Linked DNA regions of Oryctolagus cuniculus. The protein of the gene in region 6 purifies or fractionates together with the protein of the main gene of each other region. This does not show direct contact. Links are inferred from orthologs where the notes say so. Each region holds a gene or a part of one and is shown on either strand. Other genes may lie near its edges.

The links.
Region 1: the proteins of POLR2G (region 6) and MED9 purify together in Homo sapiens (affinity purification with mass spectrometry; 3 studies listed by BioGRID and IntAct, with this or other methods). This does not show direct contact. The link is inferred for Oryctolagus cuniculus from reciprocal best matches to the Homo sapiens genes POLR2G and MED9.
Region 2: the proteins of POLR2G (region 6) and GPN1 purify together in Homo sapiens (affinity purification with mass spectrometry; 4 studies listed by BioGRID and IntAct, counting the BioPlex papers as one, with this or other methods). This does not show direct contact. The link is inferred for Oryctolagus cuniculus from reciprocal best matches to the Homo sapiens genes POLR2G and GPN1.
Region 3: the proteins of POLR2G (region 6) and GTF2B purify together in Homo sapiens (affinity purification with mass spectrometry; 3 studies listed by BioGRID and IntAct, with this or other methods). This does not show direct contact. The link is inferred for Oryctolagus cuniculus from reciprocal best matches to the Homo sapiens genes POLR2G and GTF2B.
Region 4: the proteins of POLR2G (region 6) and RPRD2 purify together in Homo sapiens (affinity purification with mass spectrometry; 3 studies listed by BioGRID and IntAct, counting the BioPlex papers as one, with this or other methods). This does not show direct contact. The link is inferred for Oryctolagus cuniculus from reciprocal best matches to the Homo sapiens genes POLR2G and RPRD2.
Region 5: the proteins of POLR2G (region 6) and MED26 purify together in Homo sapiens (affinity purification with mass spectrometry; 6 studies listed by BioGRID and IntAct, counting the BioPlex papers as one, with this or other methods). This does not show direct contact. The link is inferred for Oryctolagus cuniculus from reciprocal best matches to the Homo sapiens genes POLR2G and MED26.
Region 7: the proteins of POLR2G (region 6) and SCAF1 purify together in Homo sapiens (affinity purification with mass spectrometry; 3 studies listed by BioGRID and IntAct, counting the BioPlex papers as one, with this or other methods). This does not show direct contact. The link is inferred for Oryctolagus cuniculus from reciprocal best matches to the Homo sapiens genes POLR2G and SCAF1.

Annotation. Positions count from the first base shown.
Region 1 is NC_091448.1:66,356,959-66,361,340, reverse strand, and holds the start of MED9 (mediator of RNA polymerase II transcription subunit 9), read right to left. Parts: upstream 2,875-4,382; 5' UTR 2,784-2,874; coding exon 2,557-2,783; intron 1-2,556.
Region 2 is NC_091433.1:175,373,793-175,377,572, reverse strand, and holds part of GPN1 (GPN-loop GTPase 1), read left to right. Parts: intron 1-627; coding exon 628-694; intron 695-775; exon of another isoform or gene 776-871; intron 872-1,639; coding exon 1,640-1,677; intron 1,678-3,780. UniProt on the Homo sapiens protein: Small GTPase required for proper nuclear import of RNA polymerase II (RNAPII). May act at an RNAP assembly step prior to nuclear import.
Region 3 is NC_091438.1:82,117,766-82,121,545, reverse strand, and holds part of GTF2B (transcription initiation factor IIB), read right to left. Parts: intron 2,354-3,780; coding exon 2,220-2,353; intron 1-2,219. UniProt on the Homo sapiens protein: General transcription factor that plays a role in transcription initiation by RNA polymerase II (Pol II). Involved in the pre-initiation complex (PIC) formation and Pol II recruitment at promoter DNA.
Region 4 is NC_091438.1:47,536,789-47,540,568, forward strand, and holds part of RPRD2 (regulation of nuclear pre-mRNA domain-containing protein 2), read right to left. Parts: intron 3,670-3,780; coding exon 3,592-3,669; intron 2,367-3,591; coding exon 2,314-2,366; intron 1,777-2,313; coding exon 1,650-1,776; intron 1-1,649.
Region 5 is NC_091447.1:64,933,044-64,936,029, reverse strand, and holds the end of MED26 (mediator of RNA polymerase II transcription subunit 26), read left to right. Parts: coding exon 1-1,370; 3' UTR 1,371-2,208; downstream 2,209-2,986. UniProt on the Homo sapiens protein: Component of the Mediator complex, a coactivator involved in the regulated transcription of nearly all RNA polymerase II-dependent genes.
Region 6 is NC_091432.1:8,823,508-8,828,052, forward strand, and holds the start of POLR2G (DNA-directed RNA polymerase II subunit RPB7), read right to left. Parts: upstream 2,988-4,545; 5' UTR 2,848-2,987; coding exon 2,836-2,847; intron 2,722-2,835; coding exon 2,612-2,721; intron 1,806-2,611; coding exon 1,646-1,805; intron 639-1,645; coding exon 588-638; intron 219-587; coding exon 153-218; intron 48-152; coding exon 1-47. UniProt on the Homo sapiens protein: Core component of RNA polymerase II (Pol II), a DNA-dependent RNA polymerase which synthesizes mRNA precursors and many functional non-coding RNAs using the four ribonucleoside triphosphates as substrates.
Region 7 is NC_091449.1:7,852,985-7,857,441, reverse strand, and holds the start of SCAF1 (splicing factor, arginine/serine-rich 19), read left to right. Parts: upstream 1-1,451; 5' UTR 1,452-1,922; coding exon 1,923-1,931; intron 1,932-3,981; coding exon 3,982-4,098; intron 4,099-4,280; coding exon 4,281-4,338; intron 4,339-4,457. Other genes in the region: RRAS (ras-related protein R-Ras), read right to left, coding at 1-10.

The DNA.
Region 1 (4,382 bases), on a different chromosome or scaffold from region 6:
AAGCTCCTAGATCCTGCCAGGCCCAGGCCCGTTGTTTTGGCCATCTGGGGACTGAACCTGCACATGGAAGATCTCTCTGTCTCTTCTTCTCACTGTAACTCCTTTTTTAAAAAAATTTTTTAAGATTTATTCATTAATTAAAGTCAAACTTAGAGAGGAGAGACAGAGCGAGAGATCTTGCACCCGCTGGTTCAGTCCCCAAACAGCCATAACAGCTAGGGCTGGGGCAGGTGAAAGCCAGGAGCTTCTTCTGGGTCTCCCACACGGGTAGCAGAGTCCAAACACTTGAGCCATCTTCTGCTGCCTTTCCCAGGCCATTAGCAGGGAGCTGGATTCGAAGTGGAGCAGCCAGGACTCGACCCGGTGCCTATATGGGAAGGCAGCACCGCAGGTAACATCGGACCCTGTAACTCTTTCCAAATAAATACATCTTTAAAAGAAAAAAAAAGTCCACGTTGTCAGCAGCGACTCCATCTCAGCACAGCATCGGCAAGCCCATCAACCTTCAACCTGAACGCCCCCGCAATGGTGGTGGTGTCAAGTTTAGCTTGCTTTGGTTTTAAATGGTTGAGCTCGAGTGGCAAGCCTGGGGGTTTACATCTAGCACTGAGTCGTGAGTCAGCCAACAACAGACTACACACACGACGAATGGTGGCATGAGATTAAAACGGGGCTGAAAACAACCTTGTTCGTGGTGACTCCGACGGAAAGAAACCGACTGCACTGCCAGTTCTCATACAGGGAACTTCAGAAAGTTACTGCGGGGCCGGCGCTATGGCGTAGTGGGTAAAGCCACCGCCTGCAGTACCGACATTTCATATGGGTGCTGGTTCTAGTCCCGGCTGCTCCACTTCCGATCCAGCTCTCTGCCATGGCCTGGGAAAGCAGTAGAAGATGGCCCAGGTCCTTGGCCCCCTGCCTGCTTGGGAGACCCAGAAGAAGCTCCTGGCTTCTGGCTTCAGATCGGCACAGCTCCGGCTGTTGCAGCCATTTGGGGAGTGAACCATTGGGTGGAAGCTCTCTCTCTCTCTCTCTCTGCCTCTCTGTAATTCTGCCTTTCAAATGAATTAAAAAAAAAAAAGTTACTGGAAAAATGGAACTAAAATTTTGGTTCAGGGGCCAGCATTGTGGCACAAGCCGTTGATGCTGGCATCCCACATGAGGACCTACTCAAGTCCCCGCTGCTCCATTTCCAATTCAGTTCCCTGATAATGCGCCTGGGAAAGCAGCCGGGATGGCCCAAGTGCTTGGGGCCCCTGTCGCCCACGTGGGAGACCCGGATGGGGTTCCAGGCTCCTGGCTTCAGCCTGGCCCAGGCCGGCCGTTGTGGCCATTTGGGCAGTGAACCAACAGATGGAAGATCTCTCTCTCTCTCTGCCTCCCTATCACTTTGCCTTTCAAATAAGTAAAACCAATCCCTGAAAAATAAAATGAAACCCATACACATCTTTCCATAATACGCACTTTTCCGTGAACTTTCAAAACAATCCTCGTATTGGCTGTCCTATACCTCTCACTGCTGTTTCAGAACGTACTCCTCCTACTTCCACGAAAGGCCAAACACCACGCATGTCCCGTTGGGACGTGTCTGCCTGCAGCAAGCGGCCGATGCCTCGGCTGCACCTCCTCACTCTCCCAGGCACCACTCCGTGACGTCAGCGCCAGCGGCGTACTCACTCAGGCAAGCGTGGAACGGGGGGGACTTTGGTTTCTTGTCTGTTTTTGTTTTTTCCTTTCCAGAGCCTGTCTGTCCGAAAGCTTGGGCTCCCCTGAGGGCTGGCCAACAGCACGGCCATATCCTTTCAAGGTAGGCTGGGATCAAGTTAGTCCAGGCCCGGTGGAGGCGATTTCTGTGTCTCTGCAGGCCATCTCAGCCCTGCAGGCTCAATCTGTATGAATTATGGGTAACATAATTATGGGTAACAGAGAGAGATCTTCTATCTACTGGTTCACTCCCTAAATAGCCCGAACAAAGCCAGGAGCCAGGAGCTTCTTCCAGGTCTCCCGCGTGGGTGCAGGGGCCCAAGGACTTGGGCCATCATCCACTGCTTTCCCAGGCCACAGCAGAGAGCTGGACCAGAAGTGGAGCAGCCGGGACTCGAACTGGAGACATTCGGGATGCTGGCGCTACAGGCGACGGCTTTACCTGCTACGCCACAAGGCCGGCCCGCAGTCGGCCCCTTTTACCGTGCGCACCCCGTAACGCCTAGCAGAACGCTATGCAGTCCCGACGATGTTTCTCTGCGGGATGTGCTGAAGACGAGGAGAAAACCAGAGCGCGTCTTAACCCTACGGAGCCTCAGGGACGCTGCCCAGGCTCCCGAGGCCCCCGGCCACCTGTGCCGGCCAGCTCGGAGCAAGTGTCCCCCGCATAGAGCACGGCGCCCCCCGGCGCCCCCATGCGCCCGGACAGGCGCCGCGAGCTCTCGGGAGAGGCCCCTGCCCACCCCCTGGCCTCGGCCTGCCCGCCCGAGAAATGGGGACGCACCCTTGCAGCCTCCTAGCGCCAGCGCCAGCGGCGGCGGCGGGGCCCCCTCTTCCGGGGCCCTTCCTTACCATTTGATGATGTTGTGAACCAACGGCAGGAAGGAGTAGTTCTCCTCCTCCTTCATGCTGGCGGGGCTCTGGGGCCGGGGCGCCGGCGACTGCTGCGGCTGGGGCGCGGCCACCGGTGGCGGCAGCTGCGGCGGCGGCAACGGCTTGGTCTCGGTCAGCGGCGGGTCGGCCGGTGGCGGTAACGCATCCTCGGCCTGTCGCCCAGCGGCCACCCCGGCCGAGGCCATGGCCCCGGGGCTCGGTCCAGCGAGCCAACTCCCCCACTTCACCGGCTCGGCTCGCCGGGAGCGTCGCGGACTCTACACGTCACTGCTGAGCGCCTCGCAGGGGCGGGGCCGGACGCACGGATCTGAGCATGCGCACTGAGCAGGGGGCGGGGTAAAAGCGCAGGCGTGAGGGGAGGAGGCTGTTGCTAGGCGACATGCGGTGGGCGGGCTGGTGTAGGCTGGATTTGGTTGCGAGTCTAGTTAAGTAAATTAGTCAGAAACAGGCGATTTAGCTCAAGTGACCTCAACGGCCAGGGCTGGGCCAGGGCCAACCCAGGAGCCAGGAGCTTCGTTCAGGGTTTTCACGCGGGTGCAGGGGCCCAAGTACTTGGGCCATCTGCTGCTGCTTTTCCCAGGCCTTTAGCAGAGAGCTGGGTGGGAAGTGGAGCAGCCGAGTCTCAGACTGGCGCCCATATGGGATGCCGGCGCTGCAGGCCGCGACTTAACCCACAGCACCATGGCTTCGACCCGCTATTTTATTTTTTTAAAACAACTGTTCAACATTTTTAAATTTATTTTTATTTGAAAGGCAAAGTGATAGACACGCGGAAATCTTTTCTCGGATACTTCTCTCTCCCAATGCCTCCAACAACTGTGGCTGGGCCAGGCTGAAGCCAGGAGCTAGGTACTCCATCCAGGACTCCCACGTGGGTGGCAGGGGCCCAAGCACCTGGGCCATCATCTGCTGCCTCCCAGGCTCATTAGCAGGGAGCTGGGCAGAGCAGCCGGGACCTGAAACAATTCTCTAGTGTGGGGGGCAGGTGTCCCGCAGAGAGCTGGATGGGACGCAGAGCAGCCGGGACCTGAAACAACTCTCTAGTGTGGGTGGCAGGTGTCCCAAGCTCTGGCCTAACCCACAGCGCTAGGACGCCAACTCCAAAGCATCCCCATTTTAAAGACAAAGTAACTGAGACTTAACAATGGGTGTGGGTCTAGGGTCACCCAGTTTGCCTAACGCCAAACCTATGGTCTCAGCCAGGTTCCTCAGGCTTCTGCTAGTTTTGTAACTTTATGATTCAAAATGTTAACGTGGCTTTCTATTCAGAATTTGAGAAGCAATCTAATAGTCATCAATAATATCCCCATGGCAACGTGCGTCATTTTTTTTCCCCTCCCAGCGTGTTTGATCACAAGCCCCGAATTTGTCATTGGCATCATAATGAGAACGTCCTTTAAAAAGAAAAAAAAAATCAGGTATAAATAGATATGGCTAAAAAACAAACAAAAAAACCCACAAATTGAAAATGTTAGATGCATGAGCAAATACTGGGTATTGACAATTTGCCCTATAAATAGTTCATATAATTAGTGACAAAGAGTAAAGTTTTGTAATGCTGCAAGCATATGTCAGAAAAATCCTGCCTGGGCTGCTTTCAGGAAGCCCAACATTGCCACAAAAATACGCATCTGTTTAATACTCATCCTGGTAAACGTCAGCAAAGGCAGCTGCTTCATGAATATGTAAGGCGGCTGTTTTGTCAGAGACGTGGCCAGCCTCAGCTGCACTGATGACGTAAGCAGATTTTTTTAAAGGATTATTTTATTTATTTGAAAGACAGA
Region 2 (3,780 bases), on a different chromosome or scaffold from region 6:
AGTATGCAAGGTGAATGTGGAAGAGATGTTGTAGGTTATCGGAAACACTGTTTCCACTTCTGGTTTCAGCTTTCTTACCATCTCCACAGACTGCAGGTGGCTGTAGAGACTAGGCAGAATGAAAGGTGAGATGGCAGCTGCCTGGGTGCTCAAGGTAGCATTGCCTTCGAGGCTGCATCCATTGAATAGCACCTCTTCAGATCAGGAAGCTCAGACATGAGTGTGTGTAGCTGGATTAATTGTTAGTACATTGCTGTGTGAAATGTGTGCTCTCCCTGTATATGAGTCAAGGTAGGAGAACTTACATGGTCAGCAGCTTGCTTGATTAGTGAGGATCAGAGCCAGAAGGGTTATGTAGATTATCTTGATGGCTGATGCCGGCAGCCTGCCACTGCCTGATGCATCTCTGTTGTATTTGGGTTACTTTGCTTCTCTCTCTGCCTAGTCATCCCTAAAATGGGAAATGAATGAAGACCTTCATAGCGAATGTTTCCCTGTCAAGGATTAGGTTGCCAAAATCCATTAGTGGAATACTGACAACTTGGTGCTGTTTGTGTGAGTGATCCTCTAGATATGAGTTTTGTAATATAACCTGTAAGCTGTTTAAGTCCTCAGCTTAATGTCTAGATACGGACTTGGGCCCAACGGCGGTATAGTGACCTCACTTAATCTCTTTGCTACCAGATTTGATCAGGTATGTTTATCTTTACGTATGTATACAGGGCTGTGTAAAAACCTGTGGTTGTTACATGCCTTAACTTAAATATTGGTAAAGAAGGAAGCAAGCTGAACATAAATATAGGAAATAGGCATTGACCTGTAACTGGCTTGTGTTAATGCTGTGTTATCCTGAAGATGGGATGGGGGACAGGTGAGTGGGATGGCCTAGAAGGCCTGGAATGGAAAATAATGGGGCTTTTTACTTGTGATAAATGCTTGCCTCCTTTAGGTTTTCTCTGTGATCTACATCCATAAGTTTGTTGGATAATAATTAGTTTTTGACTGTGGTATCAGTCCATGAGACAGTCTATTAATATTTGACCAAAGCATCAGAATGTGTGACTTGATAGTGATAGAAAAAATCCCAAGCTTTTCAGGTATGTGTGCTGCCCCAGGAAGCTGTGGTGCTGCTGATGTGGCTGTGCTGCTTAAGTTGTTTTTTTTTGTTTGTTTGTTTAAGATTTTATCTATTTATTTGAGAGGTAGAGTTACAGACAGTGAGAGGGAGAGACAGAGAGAAAGGTCTTCCTTCCATTGGTTGATTCACTCCCCAAATGGATGCAATAGCTGGAGCTGTGCTGATCTGAAGCCAGGAGCCAGGTGCTTCTTCCTAGTCTCCCACGTGGGTACAGGGGCCCAAGCACTTGGGCCATCTTCTACTGCTTTCCCAGACCAGAGCAAAGAGCTGGATTGGAAGAGGAGCAGTCGTGACTAGAACCAGTGCCCATATGGGATGCCGGTGCCGCAGGCAGAAGATTAACCTACTGTGCCATGGTACCGGCCCTGCTGCTTAAGTTCTTAAGATTGAGGACATAGATTGAGCAGGTGATGGTTTCTGTGAGGCATGCTACCCTAGAGAGGGCCCCGTGATTTTGTATTGAAATCAGATCCGGTTTTAATTGGCATCTTTTTCTTTTAGGTGATGAAATTTATCGAGAAGGCCCAGAACATGTCTAAGTAAGTGCCTTCAGGTCCACCCCTCTCTATTACTCTGTAGTTGTACATTTCTAGGCTTTTTGGAGGATTTGGGATAACAGCAAGCTCTGAAAGCTTGCAGATTGAGATGAAACCACTAGAAGTGTTGCTGTGGATTCGTTCTGAGAGGAGGAGTGTGGTGGGGGCAAGAGGCGTGGAGTCCCCACATAGACCCCGGGAGTTGGGTGAAAGCAGTCCTGAGGCAAGCAGCCTGTAGATTCTTTTATTTCAGTTGGTACAGCAGCTTATGTAGCCAAGGCAGTCAATCCGGTCAAGGGGTGGTCTATGCCCTAACCAATCACAGCCTGTTGCCAGGCAGTTTCCAAAGCCATCCAATCACAGCCTGTTGCCAGTCAGGCTCTGTTGCCATATGGTTTCCGAAACCATCCAATCACAGCCTGTTGCCAGGCAGTTTCTGTTACCAGCAGCCATCTTGGCATGGCCTTCTCATTCCACCGCGTAGAAGTGAGATGGCCAAGAATATCATTTGGGTGCTGTACATTGTAGAAGTGAATTTGCTGTTATCAACCCCTAAGTTTTTTTGGGACGTGCTTTGAGACTTTGTCTGCCTGCCTTCTCCTAGGAAGCCATATTTGTTGACATTTAAGCATTTGTAGACTTTTCTAGCCCTTGTTTAAATACATGATTCAGAGAAATAATTTTCTAATTTAGAAAGTACTGAAATACAACAGAATATTTATTCTTCATATATTATGCATAGTTAACTGTTGTTAATAGGTTTTCTTTTTTAAAAAAAATAATTTTACTGTTTTATAATAAGAGGTATATGCTGATTAAAGAATTCAAACCAGGCATAATTAAGAGATGAAACTGTCACTGACTCCCACTAGGGACAACTATTATTATTCAGTGACTAGCATTCCACATGTATTTTATAAAAGATTATACTACAGGGTGTTTTTTTTTTATTATTTTTTTATTTTTTGATAGGCAGAGTGGACAGTGAAAGAGACAGAGAGAAAGGTCTTCTTTCTCCATTGGTTCACCCTCCAATGGCCGCTGCGGCCGGCGCACCACGCTGATCTGAAGCCAGGCACCAGGTGCTTCTCCTGGTCTCCCATGCGGGTACAGGGCCCAAGGACTTGGGCCATCCTCCACTGCACTCCCAGGCCACAGCAGAGAGCTGGCCTGGAAGAGGAGCAATCGGGACAGAATCTGGTGCCCCGACTGGGACTAGAACCCGGTGTGCTGGCGCCGCAGTCGGAGGATTAGCCTTTTGAGCTGCGGCGCTGGCCACTACAGGTGTTTTTTAAAAGATAATAGCTTTGCCGGCGCCGCGGCTCAACAGGCTAATCCGCCTTGCGGCGCCGGCACACTGGGTTCTAGTCCTGGTCAGGGCGCCGGATTCTGTCCCGGTTGCCCTTCTTCCAGGCCAGCTCTCTGCTGTGGCCAGGGAGTGCAGTGGAGGATGGCCCAGGTGCTTGGGCCCAGCACCCCATGGGAGACCAGGAGAAGCACCTGGCTCCTGCCTTTGGATCAGCGCGGTGCGCCGGCCGCGGCGGCCATTGGAGGGTGAACCAACGGCCAAGGAAGACCTTTCTCTGTGTCTCTCTCTCACTGTCCACTCTGCCTGTCAAAAAAAAAAAAAAAGAAAATTGCTCTGTACTGAATATTTATAGACCTTTTTTTATTCCCTAAACAATACAACAATTATTTATATAGCATTTACCTTCTAATAGGAGTTGTAACTAATCTAGAGATGACTTAAAGTGTACAACAGAATGCGTATAGGTTATTTGCAGATAAGTGCCACTTTATATAGAAGGAACTTGAGTATTGCCAGATTTTGATGTCCTAGAGGGTAGTCTCTGGACTCAGTCTCCCGAGGACACTGAAGGACTAGTATATTCACAGGGTTGTGTATTGATCACCACTATCTAATTTCAGAATATTTTCATGAACTCCAAAAGAAATTCCATATTCGTTAGTCGTCATCATTGATTTCCCTTCCCTTCAGCCCTTAATGATTACCCCATTTTCATTGCTACCAACAACAGAGTTCTCCACAGCGTTACCAGTGCTTGCTGCTGTCCTTGTTTTCGATGATGGCCATTGCAGTGGGCG
Region 3 (3,780 bases), on a different chromosome or scaffold from region 6:
CAGCCCTTGCATATACAGTCAATTAGTTAGAAGACAATGAATGAAAATATTCCAATTATAAAAGCAACAGCAACAACAAAAACATACAGGAATAAACTTAAGAGTTTGTGAAGAAAACTTTGAAACATACTTGATGGACGGATAAAAGACCTAAGGAAATGGAAAGCCACACCATGTTTCTGGAGAAGAGGACATCAATAAGAAGTAAATTTTCCCTATGTCAACTTGCAAATAAATCTAAGCAAAATCCCAGTAAACCTATTTAACAACAAAATGGCTTTCTTTTTAAAAATGGGACAAAGTTAGCCTAACCTGTAAACAAAAAAGTCTAGTGAAGAAAATGCTGAAAAGATTTTGTCAAGGAGGGAAGGTTGATGTTACTGGTGAAACACCGTGGAGAAATGACATTTTACTAACTGGACAAGGATGGAAAAGAAAGTCCATCAGTATTCTCAAAGGTACAGTAACAGTATAAAATATGTGTAGTCTTTTATAAGTTTTTATTTCTTTTTGCCAGAGAAGTATAAATAGTGATTATCTGTTTTTGACAGAGAAAGAGGATTGTAGTGGGAACTGAGAGTTTGGGGGTCAAAAGTGAGGAAAATTAACTGTATTCTTTTTAAACTTCTGTTTTTGTGTCATGTATTTCCTATGGAAAAACTGAGCATTAAAGAAGTCACAGTGTTAATTAGTTGGAATTTTACATCTGGGGCTGACGCTGTGGCGTAGCAGGTAAGGCTGCCGCCTGCAGTGCCAGCATCCCATATGGGCACTGGTTTGAGTCTCGGCTGCTCCACTTCCCATCTAGCTCTCTGCTATGACCTAGGAAAGCAGTGGAACATGGCCCAAGTCCTTGGGCTCCTGTACCTGGCGTGGGAGACCCAGAGGAGGCTTTGGATAGGCACAGCTCCGGCCTTTGTGGCCAACTGGGGAGTGAATCAGTGGATGGAAGACCTCTTTCTCTCCCTCTCCTTCTCTCTGTAACTCTTTCAAATAAATAAATAAAAATCTTTTAAAAAATAAAATATCCGTAGTAGTATATTTCTTCTCCAGGCTATAAGACTAAAGCAAATGAAGATATAGCCAACTTATATAGCCAAGTTATTTCTGAATATAATACTGTAAACATTTATATCAATTCATACCATGTTTCTTAAAATTTGATACACAATTCATCAGAGCATAAACAAATCTGCTTTTCCCCATGATACCTTCTTTCTTATTTTGTTTTACTTGACAGGTAGAGTTATAGACCGTGAGGGAGAGACAGAAAGAAAGGTCTTCCCTCCGTTGGTTCACTCCTCAAATGGCCGCTATGGCTGGCACTGCGCCAATCTGAAGCCAGGAGCCAGGTGCTTCCTCCTGGTCTCCCATGCGGGTGCAGGGCCCAAGCACTTGTGCCATCCTCCACTGCCCTCCCGGGCCACAGCAGAGAGCTGGACTGGAAGAGGAGCAACCAGGACTAGAACCTGGCACCCATATGGAATGCCGGCACCCAGGTGGAGGATTAACCAAGTGAGCCATGGTGCCGGCCCCTCCCATGATACCTCCTTAAACATAGACTATGTAGTAGAATGGAGTAAGTCCTAAAATACACACTTCCTTGATTAGTGCTTTGGAATATTGCCACAGTGACTTCTGATTCAGGTAACACAGCAAGAAAAGAGCCAAGCTGCCAGGAAAACAATGATGGTGCCTTACGTAAGAATACCAGCTCCCATTTACTGTGCACATATTACACATAAAATGCTGTGATACGCTCCCAAGGCCCCTCAACATCTCTATAAAGTTCTGCTATTCTCACTTTACAGATGAGCACTGTGAAGCTTAGGCAAGGCAAGTTCACTATCAGAAGCTCTACTGAGCTCCCATTTATCTTAGGTGGTGGGGATGGGAAACAGAGGGCATTTCGATACTCAAGACATATCAGTATAACTCATAAAGACCACATTTTTGTTAAACATGTGCCTGATGTAAAAAAAAAAAAACTAAAAGGGGGCTAAGATATAAAGACTGCATTTAGATCTGCTGGTCTACTCTCCTCAAGACAGAAGAAAATCCACACAAATCAGCCCTCATTCACAACAATATTACTGACAAATGTTATTCACAGGTCAGGATTTCCCACTGGGGTAGTCACAGATAATTTTGCAAAGATTTCAAACTCCTAAGTCTTTAGTCACCCTACACCTGGTATTTCCTACTGAAAGACTTATTACCTTGCCAATCATGGTAGACAAATCTCCATCACTCAGAAGAGGATTCTGAGAATCTCCAACTCGAGATGGATCTTTTGTTGCTTTGTCATTGCTGAAAGTTCTCCATTCAGATCCCACATCAATAACCCGGTCACCTAAGAATATAAGCACACATCTGTTTGGTAAAGATGACATGATTTAACAACAGTGCCAAGCCCACGTCAGCCCATTTATTCCCAAGAAATCTAAAAAAGGACATATAGGCCTCCCCTTAAATATGGCATCTCAAACAACAGTCCTGAGGTATCCTTTTAACTGTTGTGCCAGTTCATGAATAACCCTTTTTAAACATTTCTCTATACTCCAACTCTTGGAAGAAACAATCGGTCAAAAACAGCAAAATAATTCTATCTGTATATGATACAAAGATAAAACAATATATAATGATTCAGAACAAAAATTTTGCATAAAATTTGCCACAGCCATGGGACAAAACCAGACAACTGTTCAGAATGGTTTTAATGCACAACTTAATATAAAGAACTTCTGAGTTTTTTATGGGAAGTGCTTTGTAGAAAATAAGCCTGAACTTAAGTTTCAAAGTCACCATTTGACAAAAAATATTTTTGTACTAATTATATATATGCATATATAATAAATTTTAAACCTAGAATTAGTAAGAAGAAACACAGGTAGGCAAACTTTTCTTTTTAAGCAAAGCAGCAACAGCTAAATATGCCATGTCAAAAAAGTCAGACAGGGGCCTGTGCCGTGGCACAGTAGGTTAATTCTCCACTTGCATCCCATATGGGCGCCAGTTCTAGTCTCGGCTGCCCCGCCTCCAATCTAGCTCTCTGCTATGGCCTGGGAAAGCAGCAGAAGATGGCTCAAGTGCTTGGGCCCCTGCACCCACATGGGAGATCAGGAAGAAGCACCTGGCTCCTGTCTTGGGATCGGCGCAGCTCCAGCCGTTGAGGCCATTTGGGGAGTAAACCAACGGAAGGAAGACCATTCTCTCTTTCTTTCCTTTTCACTGTCTTTAACTCCACCTCTCAAATAAATAAACAAAAATCTCAAAAAAAAAAAAAAGTCAGATAATATGGGACAAGGATGTGTAGCAGGTAAAGCCACTACTTATGATGCCCACATCCCATACTGAAGTAACAGTTCCAAGTCCTGGCTGCTCCATGTCTGATTCAGCTCTCTGCTAATGTACCCAGGAAGACACAGGTGATGGCCTGAGTACCTGAGCCTCTGCCACCCAGGTAGAAGACCTGGATAAGTTCCTGGCTCCTAACTTAGGCCTGGCCTATTCTTGGCTGTTGTGCCCATCTTGGGGGTAGACCAGCAGATAGAGATTCTCTCTCTGCCACTCAAGCCTTTCATATAAAAATTAAAGCAAGAGCGAGAGAGAGGAAGAGAGAAAGAGAGAGACATAAGCAAATCTGCTTGGTTACTAGTTTATGGTAATGTTCAGTATTTGCCAATATTTTCTTTCAGAGTAGATAAGAATTAACACTGAACACACATACACCAGCCATTGGGCCCTTAGAAATGTTCTCACTTAATCCTCATGGCCTTA
Region 4 (3,780 bases), on a different chromosome or scaffold from region 6:
CAGCTGTGCTATTAATCTCATGACACCTCAGATTTCTCATTTAGAAAACAGAGATTTTTGGCAGCAGTCGTCAGCTTCTAGCTGCCTTACTCAGCTTGCTGTTCCCCCATGGCATGTAGCAGCACCAGCTAGTTGCTAGGTGTCCTGACTGCCCACTCCTCCTATGTAACATGTTCAATAAATCCAACCCTGCTTACTCAAAAACAAACAAACAAAAAGAAAGCCAAAAACTCAGAAGGGTTTTTTAGTATGCTTTTGAGTTGATGTAAAGGCTACATTAGATAAATGTTAAGATATGGTGTAGAGACAAAACAGGCACCCAAATGAAAGCTAGTTGTCATTTACTCATTATTTCAAAACTATGTATCAAATGTTTATTATGTACTAAGATTACCGTAGGCACTGGGGATAGCAATGAACAAATAAAGATGATTTCTGGAGGCTGGTGAGTGGCATATCGGCTAAGCCGCCACATGCAGCGCTTGCATTCCCACATGGGCAACAGTTCAATTCCTGGCTACTCTACTTCCCATACAGCTCCCTGCTAATGCACTTGGGAAGCTTGGGCCCCTGTACCCACGTGGGAGATCCAGAAACACCTGGCTCCTGGCTTTGGGCTGGCCCAGCCCTGGCTGTTGCAGCCATTTGGGGAGTGAACCAGGGGATGGAAATCTCTCTCTGTAACTCTGCCTTTCAAATAAATAAACCTTAAAAAAAAAAAAAAGATAATTTCTGCCTTCATGAGGGTTATACTCTAATAGCTATTTTTTTAAAACTTTACTTAAGGTAGATTAAATTCTTTATTCTTTTTTTTTTAAAGATTTATTTATTTATTTGAAAGATGGAGTTACAGAAAGGCAGAGGCAGAGAGAATCACTCCCTCAACTGGCCACAACAGCCAGAGCTGGGTTGATCCGAAACCAGGAGCCAGGAGCTTCTTCTGGGTCTCCCTTGGGTCATTTTCTACTGCTTTCCCAGACCACAGCAGTGAGTTGGTTAAGAAATGGAGCTGCTGGGACTCAAACCGGTGCCCATAAGGTATGTTGGCACTGCAGGTGGTGGATTTACCTGCTATGCCACAGTGCCGATCTCTAGTATGATTATTTATTATTTACAATGTAAGGAAAAGAGGGCAACTAACAAGATTTTATGAGGCATTAGCGTGACCTCATTAAAAAGCATGCCCCAAACGACAAACCACACATGTGCAACACAAGTGTCTATATATAAGCTCATATACCAAGAAAGACTAGAAAGGAGGGGAAGGATAAGAATTTACTTACTGCTTTCTACAATCTAATGTTCTCTTTATAGACTACCTGAAAATGACATTTCTGGAAAGAAAAATCTGAATTATTCTATTTAAAGGATGTAAGTGGGTTGGGCATTTGGTACAGTGGTCAAGCTGCCACGTGAGACACCTGCAGCTCACATTGGAGGGCCTGGGTTCAAATCCTGGCTTTGCTCTCCATTCCAGCATCCTGCTGGTGCACACCCTGGGAGGCAGTATTTGGGTTGCTACTACTCACTTGGAGACTCGGAATAATTCCTAGCTGCTGGCCTTGGTCTGTCCTAACCCTGGCTGTTGTGACAGATCCCTTTCTGCTTTTCAAATAAACATATAAAAACTAAAAAGATGTAATTATTACCTTTTAAGCATTTGAGAGTTTCTGTGCTGCACACATCCACCCTCATAGTTGATAGCTGCTTTTCCTTCAGTTCTATCTGATCTTCTGAGCGCTTGTATAGTAACAGCTCTTCAATGAGGGCCTGAGACTGAACACAGACCAGAAACACATTTCATTTACAAGCTCATTCAATTATTCTATCTCCTATTAGAACAACAACAACAAAAACCTAAGCTAAAACCTAACAAAATCTTGAGGGGAAACAAAAAACCCTTACTTTTCCTCAATCAATTCTGATGTCAAAACCATAAATTCATTTATATACTGTAAAAGATCCTGCCCCTTATTTAAGGCTAATTTACAGATACAGGATTAAAACTGAAACAAAGGTCCAGTTATATTCTCTTTAAATTTTAATTAGGTAAACATGGTCTTCTGTTACTCTTAAGAAATTTCTAATTTATCAGAGCTTTACAGAAAGATGAATCTGTTTGTTGGCATGAATTCATTACAGAATTTAGCTGGTAATAGATATTCTGGGAGAAGGTTATTTTTGGGGGAACAGATAAAACTTCAAGTAATCTAATCCCAATTTGGAATTCTTTAAAACATAAGTGACAAAAAGAAGTCTTACTGGACCATGTGGGAAACTATAACACAAAACTGAATATATTCTGTAACTTACTCGAAATTCAGCAACTATCTTAGACTTGAGAGCAGCTTTTGGATTTGTGGATGCTGTTGGAATTAAACAAAAGGCTGTTAAGAATATAAACACAAAGAGTTGACTAAAATTAAAGAAAAATTTCAGCTTTTTAGTTATGGGTATACTCTGAATATATGGCAAACATGCGCATTTAAATCATAATATAAATCCTGTATTAAATAATGGACTATGAAATCTAAACACTCTCAAGCATGTTTAATGTCAAAATACACTACTTAATTAGGCCTAACCTACTTACCTCCAACAGACCCTTGAAGCATAAAGTACCTTCTTTTCCTAGTCTGACTGAGTAAAAGGAGATTGCAACACCTCAAATTAAGAGTGTTCAGGAAGAGGACATCCACTTAATCCTGAGCACTGGCAGAAGAAAATTACTTACAAATATCAACTCTATTTCCTACGTATTGAGCTGTGGATTCCTTTTGCTGCTGACTCAATTCATGGCAAACATAAGAAAGTTCTAAGCACATCACCACTGTGGTTGAACTTTGGCTCAAAGGACGACTCTTGGTGATCTTATGCATGCAATTTACGACCAAAAGGATGTCACAGGACTCCCTTAATCATGATGAATATCATACGCTTGCTGGAGCAAAACCATCCTAAGAATCTTGTTTCACCTCCCAATTCTCACTGTCTTTTACCTTGGTCTCTCCACACCTTCAAGTCTCTCTCAATATTCCTCAGTTTGCCCACAGCAGCCTATCACATGCAGTATTCCACTCCCTTGATCTCATGCTGGGTAAACTGGTAAAACATTATAGGAGCTCCAGTTAGAGAACGAGCTTCTGGCCAGGATTTGAGGCCCACGTATAATTTGGCAGAGCGTATCCCCAATCTGAAGGATTTCATGGCTCCCACAGAAATGCTTCTTAATGCCTATTCTCTTCTTCAGCTCTGTTGTTTAATTTCAGCTGCCTCTAACTTCATGTATCTTTGAATCTGAGAATTAGCCTGGGCACTATCAAGTTTTTTTTTTTTTCTTCTTTCAATCCCCCAACTACTCTTGAATCTTCACTCAATCAAACCCTTTTTCTGCATTTCCTTTGTTTAAAGTGGTTTTTAAAGAAGTAACTTCATGATGGCTGGCTTAGTGTAAATCACTGGGAGCCTCCCGGGCCTGAAAAACACAGGCTTGCCCACGGTTTATGCCAGGTGCGATGTCAAATGGTCTACATTTTCTTCTGCTCCAAAAAGAGGAGGTAATTTTATATTAGTTGAGATTTTGTTCCTTACTTTGTGATTTCTTCCACTGCTTATTCGGTTGTTTGTTCAGATTTTCTTTCAGCTGCTTCTGAGTTTTGAAAGTTGTACCTGGAAAACATTTCAGTTTTTGCAATCTGGCATTATGGGAAGCTGTTCTGTCTGTCCACTTCAGTGCCAAAGTTGTAGCATCAAAAAAGGCAATCCAAGACTGTGTGTTGT
Region 5 (2,986 bases), on a different chromosome or scaffold from region 6:
TGGGCGGCCAGAAGCGCCGGGGGGACCAGCGCGACCTCGGCCACCCCGGGCCGCCCGCCAAGGTCTCCAAAGCCAGCCACGAGCCCCTGCTCCCCAATTCGTCCCCCCTCCCCACCAACGGGATCAGCGGGAGCCCAGAGAGCTTCCCTGGGCCCCCCGACGGTGGCGGCGGTGGCGGTGGCGGCGGCGGGGGGCACGGCCCTGAGAGCGGCCGTGTGGAGCCCACCGAGAATGACACGCACAGCGGCAAGATCCCTGTCCACGCGGTGCGGCCGCACACCAGCTCCCCGGGCCTGGGCCAGCCCCCCGGGCCCTGCCTGCAGACTAAGGCAGCGGTGCTGCAGCAGCTGGACAGGGTGGACGAGACCCCCGGGCCCCCCCACCCCAGGGGGCCCGCGCGCTGCTCCTTCAGCCCCCGGAACTCACGGCACGAGGGCTCCTTTGCCCGGCAGCGGAGCCCGTATGCACCCAAGGGCTCCGTGTCCAGCCCCTCGCCGCGGCTCCAGCCGCTCGACGCCACCCAGGTGCCCTCACCTCTCCCGCTGGCCCAGCCGTCCACGCCCCCCGTGCGGCGGCTGGAGCTGCTGCCCAGTGCCGAGAGCCCGGTGCGCTGGCTGGAGCAGCCCGAGGGCCGCCATCGACTGGCGGCGCCGGGCTGCAAGGCAGGGCTGCCCCCGGCCGGCTTCTCCCCAGACTCCTCCAGGGTGGACAGCGACGCTGCCGCCGCCGGGGGCTCGGACAGCAAAAAGAAGAAAAGGTACCGGCCACGCGACTACACGGTGAACTTGGACGGGCAGGTGGCCGAGGCGGGCGTGAGGCCCGTGCGGTTAAAAGAGCGGAAGCTCACCTTTGACCCCATGACGAGACAGATCAAACCTCTGACCCAGAAAGAGCCAGTGCGGGCGGACAGCCCTGCGCGCACGGAGCAACCGCCCAGGACAGAGCCGGACGCGCCCGAGGCCAAGGCCAGCCTCCAGAGCCCCTTTGAGCAGACGAACTGGAAGGAGCTGTCGGGCAACGAGATCATCCAGTCGTACCTGAGCCGGCAGAGCAGCCTGCTGCTGTCCTCCGGCACGCAGACGCCGGGCGCCCACCACTTCATGTCCAAGTACCTGAAGCAGGAGCAGAGCCGGCTCGGGGCCCGGCGGCCGCACGTGCTGCTGCCGCACAGCCCGCCCGCCGAGCTGCCGGGGCTGAGCCGGGAGCTCACGCAGGACGATCTCGACAGAATCCAGGCCGGCCAGTGGCCGGGGGTGAACGGGTGTCGGGACACACAGGGTAACTGGTATGACTGGACGCAGTGCATATCGCTCGACCCGCACGGCGACGACGGGCGCTTGAACGTTCTGCCTTACGTCTGCCTGGACTGAGCGCCCGCGGCCGCCGGGCGCACTCCCACCTCGCGGCGGGCGGGAGCGGGGGTGGGGGGCAGGAGCCACGCGGGCTTCCGCCCCTTCCCCCCTCCCGGGACTCTCCTCCTTTTGTGAAATGCTGCTACCAGTTTACTAACAAAATTGCGAAGGGAGGGCGGCGCGCACGGACGGCAAAGCGAGTTCGGAACTTGAGCGAACGCGTCAGTCCCCACCCGGGCACCCAGGCAGGCAGGCAGGCAGGCAGGCGGGCGCAGGGCTCCGCGCTGGGGGGAGCAGCAGGAGCACGCGTCTCGGCCCCGCACTCGCTCTTCTGGGGTCTGGGAGCCGGGGGGAGGGGCCGCGGGCGGGCCACGTGGACGACCAGTCTAGCCCACACTCCACGAGCATCCACCCATTTCGATCTGGTTTCGGTTCAAAATCCCCAGTTTTTCAAAGAAATGCTGCAAAAAATTTCAGTTCTCTCGCGTTTATTTTCCATGTGACCACCAGCCAAAACCCGCCCTCCCCGTCCCTGCCCCTCCCCCACACGCCTGGGGAGTTCACCTTCCTAGAGTCCCCCCCAGAACAACACAGATGTCGCCGCGGGTGCTACTGGGGTGCGCGCCGTGCCGCCGGGCGAGGAGCCGTCTGCGCTGACACTCATAACCATTCCTTTAGATTCGTTTGCCTTATGGTTACTCGTCATAAACGCGATTTGCAAAAACAAGGAGCCTTAGTGAATGTACAGAACCCAGACTTCTGCGTCCTCACGCAGAAGGGAGCAACTTTGCTATTTGGTCCAGTAAGTGGACACCTTGTGATATAAATGTGGAAATAAAAAACCCATTTGCACAAACTCGTCTGAGAATCGTTTCCTACTTGGGCCTTCGGACAGCCACACAGCGCCTGCCTGGATTCTGGACGAGCCGGGAGGGCCCGGGCCCCACAGCCCGACGGCAGGCTGGGCTGCGGCCACCTGCCAGCTCTGGAGAGACCCCACAGGCGCCACGTCTGCAGCTCCGGGTTCCAGTGGCCTCGGCCCCTCCCCCCTGCCCGCACCACCACCACCAAATATTTGTTGTTCTAAGAGGCCCAGCCCTTTGGCCTTAGTACCCTGATCACTGAAACAGCTGTCCTGCCTCCATTATAAAGGGGTAATAAGACCACCCCGATGGGCCATCCTGTCCCTGTCTCCCCCACGTCCCGCAGCCGCCCAGAGCCAGCAGGGACTTGGACACACACTGCCCTGTCCAAAACAAGGGTGCAGTGGGGTCGAGTGGCTTTGAGGGCAGGGTGAGGCTGAGCCCTGCACCTGCCAGCCGTGGGCTCGCTCTGGCTCACTCCCTGGAGGTGCGAGAACCAAATGATCCAAGTCCTCTCAAAAACCAGCAAGCCCGTTGGTGGGTGGGCTGCGACTCCCGGCCGCGCTGCGGAGTAGGGTCACTGCTCTCACTCCGTGCACAGTGGGCTCACCCTGGCCAGCTCCGGTGGCCGGCAGGTGCTACCTGCGACACAGGTCGGAGCGCAGGGTCCGTCTCCTTCCCGCAGACCAGGGCTCTGGGACAGGCCGCTGCTTTCCCTTCTCCCCCACCCCGCCCCCGACACACCTGGCGGGACCACCACCCCCGGCTCGG
Region 6 (4,545 bases):
CCCACAATCTTCAGGCGGATCTCATCATCCTGCTGAATCACAATGTCCTGGGCAGAGGAGGGAACAGGGTCCTCAAGACACGTCCAGGCCAACTCTCCCTCCCAGTGCCCTGATCTCTCCTCCCTCTGCCTGACGTCTTCCTCCCCACTCACCTCATCCATTGTCTTGTAGCATGGTGGGTTGGAATTGGGATCAAACTCCATCTCTGATGGGATAGACTGAAAGGAAAAGTCAAAGTAGGTCAACACTGTCATTTCCTTATCTATACACTTCTTTGGGAGGCAGAGAATACCCATCCGCTGATTTACTCTCCAAATGCCCACAGTGGCCCAAGCCTGGGGCCAGAGCCAGGAGCTGGGAACTCCGTCCAGGTCTCCCACCAGGGCAGCAGGGACCCAGTCACTTGAGCCATCACCAACCGCCTTCGTAGGGTGCACATTAGCAGAGGCTGGAGTCAGCAGCCAGAGATGAGTATAGAACCCAGGAGGGTCAGCACTTTCAACAGATGCTTCAGTAGATGACCACAAACGGGCGCATCTTTCTAGCCCCTACCCGGTGTCCCAGCCTACCCGGTGTCCCAGACTTACGTGTCGAGAGATGAAGCAAGACATTGGCCCAATTTCTGTGAAGAGTCCAACCTACAAGGAAAACGAATGATTTCGCTTTTTCTTCCCCTCCAAGTCTTTTGTTCCCATTTTTACTTGATTCCTACAATTTTACTCATGTTCTATGACCGGTATGAATTGTGGCATTTGTTTGCACTTCTCTTTTTTATTAACATTTCATTATGTATTTAGCTATTTTATGTACCTGAAACGCAGAGTGACAGAAAAAACAGAGAATCAGATCTTTTGTCCAATGGTTCAGTCCCTAAATGGCCCCAGTGGCTGGGACTGTACCCAAGACCCCAGAATACCAGCCAGGTCTCCCACGTGGGTGGCAAGGCCCCAGCACGTGGGTCATCTTCCACTGCTTTCTCAGGCACATTAGCAGGAAGTAGCACAGGAAACAGCACCTGGATGCCAACCGGCACACTGATACTCAACAATACTGGAATGTAAGTAAGCCTAACCCACTGCACCACAATGCCAGCACCAATCTTTCATTTTAAGTTAAGTAAAAACAGTGCAGTAGTAAAGAGCCTACACCTAGGACTTGAGAGAGAGAGAGAGAGAGAATCTTTCATCTGCTGGGTCACTCTCCAAATGGCTGCAATGATTAGGGCTGGGTCAGGCAAAAGCCAGGAGCCAAGAACTTCCTCTGAGTTTCCTACATGGGTGCAGGGGCCCAAGGACTTGGACCATCCTCCACCACTTTCCCAGGAGCATTAGTAGGGAGCTAGATGGAAAGCGGAACAGCCGGGACTTGAACCTGCACCCATATGGAATGTCGGTGCCGTATGTCATGGATTTAACCCGCTGGGCTACAGCGCTGGCCCCAGGACTCTACCCTTACGACTATTAATACTGAATCACGTGCCTCCTGAGTGAGGCAGGACCAAGATTCCTAGAACCATTTGCCAAGTGAGGAAACTGAAGTACAAAAAAGTGACTTAGCCAAAGGCACAGAGTTAGCAAGAGGAGCAGGGACCCAAACCAGCTCCTCCCAGGGACCACCCCGTTGCCTCCTCTATGTGAGGACTCACCTTGTTGACCTGAGTGACAACTGCATCCACGACCTCACCTTTAAAGGGCCGGAAAACAATGGCCTTGTACTTAACAGGATAAAGCACAAAGCCTCGGCCTGGCTGAATCACTCCTGCGCCGATGTTGTCTATGGTGGTGACAGCAATGACGAAGCCATACCTGTGAGGAGGATGAGAAAGAGAAAGGTTCTATATGCGGAAGGGCCTCTAACGCCATCTGCAGCAAGAGTCATCGAGCCTGGGAAGGGGTTAAGAGGGGAAGCAGACAGCATCTCTGCCCCCAGAGCGCTTCAGAACCAAGAGAAAGGGCAGGGATCAGCATCTGTAAAGGCCACGCGCTGCTCTCCTGTTTCACAACAAACATCCGAAGTGGCTGCAGTCTCTGACCTCAATCTTCGAGCTGCCTCAGAATCACCTGGGAGGAGCGTGTGAGCAGGCAGAGTCCCAGGCCTGCCCCAGAGATGTGAGGAGTCTTAGGAACGAACGTGCATCCAGGGTAATCTGGCTTTGCTGTAGGCTCAAGTACCGCCCGGCCCCGAGCTGAGTTCCAGTCCACTCCTACCGCTCTGGGAAGAACCCAAGGACAGTCAAGCCCCAGCCTCCTTCCTTCCTCACCCCGTCGACCCGCATTCTCTGGTCATTCACTCAGGAAACACACTGTGCCATGCCAACTCCCTGGGCTCAGCAGAAACCGAGGGACAAGGGTTAAACTGTGAGCCCCACGCGTGCTGGCCTCATTCCATCTTGTTCTCTGCATGTTCCCAGGGCCCAACACGGGGCCCGGCTCACAGCAGGAGCTCGAAAAACGCGCAGTAAAAGAATGAGAAATCTAGGCTGAAGGAAGTTACGGAGCGCTCCCCAGCGTGGGTGGCAAGGTGCTGCAGCCCACGCTGGGAGGGGGGCGGCTGCAGGTACAGGGTCCCGTGTGCGCGCCGCCGAGACCACACGCACGGCCACAGTACTCACTTGCCAGTGCAAGTCCCCTCCACCTCGGTGAAGAGCTTCTGCTTCACGGTGTTGAGCAAGTTAGGGCCAAAGTAGCGCGGGTGCAGCAGGATCTCGTGCTCCAGGGAGATCTGCGGAGACAGCGGAACGCAGACGGAGGATACGGGGCAAGCAGCAGCCCTCCGCACCGGCGCCCCGTTCCTCCTCTCGACCCAGCCCTCGCCATCACCCCGCGCCCTGCTCACGTGGTAGAACATCTTCCCCGACGAGACTCTAAAACAAGCCGCCACCAGCGCTACAAACACCGACCCACTGGCTTCACCGGAAGCGCACGCCGCGCAGCCGCCCCTCGCTTCCGGGTCCGCCGGAAGTGGGCGGGACTCCTTCCAGTCGATGGATACGATTGGGCCTCCCTGTGGAGGATTGATGAAGCTCCGCCCCTCGGTTCCTCCGACTGGCGCTCAAACCTTGCCCGCTCCGCCAAGTAACTTAAAGTATTTGTGAACTGAATATTTTAAACTGAATTAATTCCTGGTGAAAGATGACATAATTATTTTAACAGCGGAGTCATTCAGCAAGTATTTTACAGACTGCTTTCCCATAGTCAATGTGGTGTTAAGTATCTAGGTGGATAGTAGCCTTTTTTTTTTTTTCAAGGTTTTATCTATTTGGGAGGCAGAGTTAGAGAGAAGTAGAGAGAGAGAGGTCTTCCATCCCCTGGTTCACTCCCCAAATGGCCGCGAAGGCCGGAGCTGGCCCAATCTGAAGCCAGGAGCCTACTCAGGGTCTCCCACGTGGGTGCAGGGCCCGAGGACTCAGGCCATCTTCCACTGCTTTCCCAGGCCATAGCAGGGAGCTGGATCAGAGGTGGAGCAGCTGGGACTCGAACTGGCGCCCATATGGGATGCCGGCAATGGAAGCCGCGGCTTTACCCGCTATGCCACAACGCCAGCCCCTGCTCCACTTCTGATCCAAATCCCTTCCAAAAGCCTGCGAGAAGCAGTGGAAAACGACCCAAGTGCTTGGGGCCCTGCACCCACAGAGGAGACCTGGAAGAAGCCCCTGGTTCCCAGCTTTGGCCTGGCCCAGGCCTCATCGTTGTACCCTTTGGGGAGTGAACCAGTGGATAGAAGACTTGTTCCTTTCTCTCTCACTGTAACTCTGACTTACAAATAATTAAATAAATATTTTTTAAAAAAATTGTTGGCGGCTGGCGTTGTGGTGCAGTGGGATAAAGTCATGACCTGCAGCACTGGCATCCAATATGGATGCCGATTCAAGTCCTGGCAGCTCCACTTTTTTTTTTAAGATTTTATTTATTTATTTATTTATTTATTTTGAGAGGTAGAGTTACAGAAAGTGAGAAGGAGAGACAGCAAGAAAGGCCTTCCATCTGCTGGTTCAGTCCCAAAATGGCGGCAACGGCTGGAGTGCTGGCCCCAGCTCTACTTCTGATCCAGCTCCCTGCTAATGTACCTGAGAAGGCAGCAAGTCCTTGGGCCCCTGAAACAGGGGCCTGTGGGAGACCCAGAGGAAGCTCCTGGCTCCCTACTTTGGCCTGAGCTAGCCTGGTCATTGTGGCCATTTGGGGAGTGAACCAGCAGATGGAACATCTCTCTCTCTCTCTCTCTCTCTCTCACTCTTTCTGTAACTCTGCCTTTCAAATGAATAAATAAATCTTTAAAGAAAATTTTTGATAAAAACATACTAAAGATGTTTTCAGTCACTGCCATAATTTTGTAAGTGGAGATGGCTGGTATAGAGGTCCTTGTCCTCCCATAAAAAAAAATTCAAGCAAGAGACAGAGATTAGTGATAAGCAAGACAACAAGGTTTGATGAGTAGTGTATCCATTAGAACAGATGGGCGGCTGGCGCCGCGGCTCACTAGGCTAATCCTCCACCTAGCGGCGCCGACACACTGGGTTCTAGTCCCGGTCAGGGCTCCGGATTCTTT
Region 7 (4,457 bases), on a different chromosome or scaffold from region 6:
CGCTGCTCATGTCGCCACCGCTGCCGCCGCCGCCGCTACCGCCCGCAGGGGGGAGCCGGGCGGGACCCGGGGGGGGGGCGGGATACGCTAATGAGGGGACTGCATAGTCATGAGCTCTGCCCCCGAAGGGTTCGCGGCTCAGGACACTTAAGGAGGAGGCAGGGCCCCGGGGAAGGAGGAGCTATGCTAATAAGGCAGGGGAATTCCGAAAGGGGCGGGGATATGCTTATGAAGGAGCTGCGCCACGCGCTCTCAGCAGGCCGGCCGCGTGTGGGCGGGGACATGCAAATCAGCACATTCTTTAGACTGCCGGGGCGGGAAGTTCGTTCGGGGAGGAGCTATGCAAATGAGGGAGCCCGGGGAGCGAGCCGCTCCGGGCCTTATTCTGGTGGGCGGCGCTCGCCGACTCGGGCGCGTCCGTATATAGGGCTCTCCGAGGAAAAAGCGGGTCCGGAGGAAGTGGCTCCACCCCCGCCCTGGGAGCCCAGCCCAGCTCTCGGCCCGGGCGTGCGGGCTCCGCCTGCTAAGGGACCCGGCCCAGCGGAAGGCCGGCTGGAAGGAGAGCTGGGGCCCTGGAAGGGGACGGCGGGTTGAACGGGCGGGGCCGTGAGATCACTGCATTCCTAATCCATGAACCAGCTCTCCCAAGTCGGGACGCCCGGGTCAGGAGGGACCTCGGGCCCCAGGAAGGAATGGGGGCTGCAGACTCGGGCCCCCGGGGCACTGCGCAGGAGGTGCCGGTAGTGACGGAGCTGGAGGACTGGATCCTGGGTCTGGGGTTGGAGAGCTTGGCGACTCAGAATTCTGGATCCCAGGGCACAGACCAGGAATGGAGGGAGGAGGCTCCCGAAGCCTGAGGGAGAACACGCAGACCCCTCAGTCCGAGGGAGGAGGCTGTAACGCACGGACTCCTGGGACTTCCGCGTCCTGAAGGGAGAGGCTGTAGGGTCCTAAATATAGAGGGAATCTGAGCCCGAGAGTCCCCAGGATGTGGGCGGGACGGTACCCACCCAGTCCTCCCGCCGCAGAACTACAATTCCCCGTATCCGTTCCCATGCGCGTCCCTTTACGTCACTTCCTGTTCCGCCGCCCTTTCCGCGCGCACGCAGGGCACTGTGGGGCCTCCCCGCGGGCTCCTGCAGCCCCGCCCACTTCACCTCTCACCTCCTTGCTGGCCCCGCGCGACGGAGGCGGTGCGCGGACTACGCCTCCCGGCGTGCGGCGCGCGTGCCCCGCCCCACCTGTCCCCTGGACTTCTGGGAAACCGAGTCCGAGCGCCTTCCCGCCAGCCTTCACGGCGCCGTGCTCGGTACTTGCAATCCCGGCAAGCTCGGCGGCTCTTTAACTCCGCCTCCCTCCTCCTCGGCACGCGAGCCCCGCCCCAGCCCGCCCCGCCCCGCGCCGGGGCCGGAGCCGCAGCCCGAGCGGCGGGGTAAGATGGCGGCGGCGGTCCGGGCCGCGGGGCTCGGGCCTATTGGGGTGGGCGGGGCGGAGTCGGGTCGCTGGTTGTCCCGGGGTCCTCCTCGCACGCCACGGGGCCCGGAGGGCTTAGCGGGGCGGCCTCGGGCCCGGCAGTAGCGGCGCAGCCTGGCGCCGAACGGAGGGGCCTGCGGAGGGCCCCGGGACGCGTCCGTGGGCGCCGGGGGGCGTCGACGGAGCGCCCGGGAGCGCTGGGGTCGGTCCCGGCACCTGGCCTGAGCCCGGGGGCTGCCCTGCCTCGTGCAGCCGGCCTGGGTCGCGGCTGCGGGGGCTGTGGATGCTTCTTAGGGGCCGGCCGGAGGCTGGGGTCTGTTCAGAGGGTTTTGGGGCCATCTTGGGAGCTTGAGCCGTGTCCCGGGGATGGAGCAGGTCTGCAGAGCCGTCTAGAGCGCCCAGGGTATGTCTCTCGGGGCTGGCAAGTGTCTACACCGGCTGGCCTGAGGATGCGGCTGGTGGGTACACGGGTCGGGTAGGGGGGGCATTTATCGGGCCTGGGAGAATTACGGAAGGGCTAGGAAGCGTTCGAGGGGCACACAGCGGGCTGGGATGCGCCGAGCCGGGAAGCGAGGCCAGTCCTGAGATGTCCTGGAGGCGTGGAGTGTCTGATCCGGGTGACGGGAGGTCGGGGGTGGCTGGAAGGACCTGGAATGCGCTCGGTGGCTTTGATGTGACTGCAAGCGTGCAGGCTGTGCCTGGGAAAGACTCGAATGCGTTTTGGGGACAGATGAACGTGTGGAGAAAAATTCCAACGAGCGTGCTGGAAATTCGGCCCGCTGCAGACACACTTGCCCTTCGGAAAGTATTCCCACGAAACGAAAAATGCTTACAGATTTTGCATTTCCCTGGGGCGGTAGGGAGAGAGCGGTAGTCCACAGTGGCCTGGGAGGGGCTGGGGGGCCGTCTACACGCTCCTGGCGCATCGCTTTGCGAAGTCTTTCAGCCTTGGGCTGCAGGGAGAAGTAGGTTTTCCATTGAGACAAAGTATATACTGACGGGTGTTTAGATACTCCGGGGCCCGGGAATTGATATTTGCACTTGCTACTTGGGGTGCTGTGGACAGTTTTCTGTTATGTTTTATGTCCTTTTTGTAACAAGCTGTTTTGGAAGCAGCGAACAGCTGTCCGACTCTAGTCTGAAAACCCTTGACCTGGAGGGACCAGCAGTGGCCGCAGCCTTGCTCTGTCCCAAGATCTGAGGAGCCAGGGGTGCACCTGCAAAGTCCAGGGGCCTCTCAGTGAGCAAAGGAGCATCTGTGTCCCCCGCAGAGGGTCTGGCCCTGCAGCTCGGTCCCCTGCAGAGGGTCTGGGCTCACCAGCTCAGTCGTCCACAGAGGGTCTGGGCTCGCCAGCTCTGTCCCCCGCAGGTCTCGATTGAGCCTCTGATGGGTGACAGTCGCTGTCGTGGGTGGTGTGTGCCTCCCGGGAAGTGCTGGCCAGCAGGGCCGGGGCTGGGAGCTGTGCGGGGGGCCTGCGCCCCACAGTATTGAGTGCTGGTGAGAGGCTGGGGTGTGTAGGAGTCTCAGGGCGTTAGGGAAGTGGCTGCAGGTTCCCAAGAGCAGGGAGGGAGGCTGAGGTGGGAGCCACGGCACAGGTGGAAAAATCTGGAGGTGGGGCGCAGGCGTGCACAGGTGGGCAGGAGAGGAGACGGCGTAGGAGGAGCCTGGGCTGCAGGGCTAACGGTGCGACTAGCGCTCCTGGTACTGAGCCCTTGGGATGTGCCGGGTGTGGGACGTAAGGCAGCCTCGTTCTGTTCCGACGGCTGTGCCATGAGCCCGGTCTTCTGTTTGCCCACTTTCAGGTAAGGACGCGGAGTTGAGGGTCAGGGGTTTGAGAGCAGACAGGCGCAGGGAAGCTCGGGGTGGGGTAGTCCCTGGCTGCCGAAGCCCTGCTCTTCTAGCCGCCTGACCGGGCAGCCAGAGCTGAGCGTCTCCGGGCGGCGGGAGGGCTTCGGCAGTGCCTCCCTGGGACGGGAGGCTGATGGCAGTGCCCCTGCCCTGGGGTCCTGGGAGACAGCATGCGTATCGGACGCTAAGCATTTTTGTTTGGGAACTGGCACGAGGCTTTTGCAGACCGGCCTCGCGTGGCCCGTCGTACGTGTGGGAGGACGAGCGATGCTCCGGGAAGCTGTGGTGGGTGACACTGGCTGCCCCGGGCACTGGCACGCAGCTCGGCGTGGGGAAGGGGTTGGTGGGACCGTGCACCGTGCTCTGAAGTCATGGCGCGGAAACAGATCTCTGATTCTGTCTAGTGCGAGGTCCTGACGCTGGGCTTGGTTGTGGGGGAGCCGTGGGGACCGGGGAGTAGGGAGGCCGCCCCTCGACAGAGGTCACAGCCAAAGCCCAGAGGGCACTGCTCTGTGGCGTCCATCGCGGGCAGACGGAGATGAGGACTGTTCTCTTTTTGTAAGCGGAGGAGGGAAGGTGGGGAGATGAGGGCCCTGGTGTCTTCCGTCGGCCCCCCCTCCTGCACCCGGGGCTGCTCCCCAAGTCAGCCCCTCCCCCAGCAGGTGACCATGGAGGAAGAGGATGAGTCTCGAGGGAAGACGGAAGAGTCGGGCGAGGATCGGGGCGAGGGTCCGCCAGACAGGGACCCCACGCTTTCTCCTTCTGCCTTTATCCTGGTGAGGCTGCCAGACCCCTGGAGTGGAGGGAGAGTGGCTGGGAGGCCCTGCCTCGGGGCCCCTAGCGGGAGAGTGGGCTGGGAGGCCCTGGCTCCTGGGCGAGCGAACAGGGGTCTGGCGGGGGGGCGTCGGGGTGCTGTCCCCGGAGCCCGCTGAGCCCCGACCTCTCCGCTTTCTCGCAGCGGGCCGTTCAGCAGGCTGTGGGGAGCTCCCTGCAGGGGGATCTGCCCAGCGACAAAGGTACGGTGGCCCCGGGCCCCCCTCGCCCGTTCTTCTCACCCTTCCTCCGGTGAAGCTGTTTCAGGGCTCCTTCGTGCTGGCTTGGGCGGGCGGCTGCCTCCAGGGCCTGCAGTCCCGGG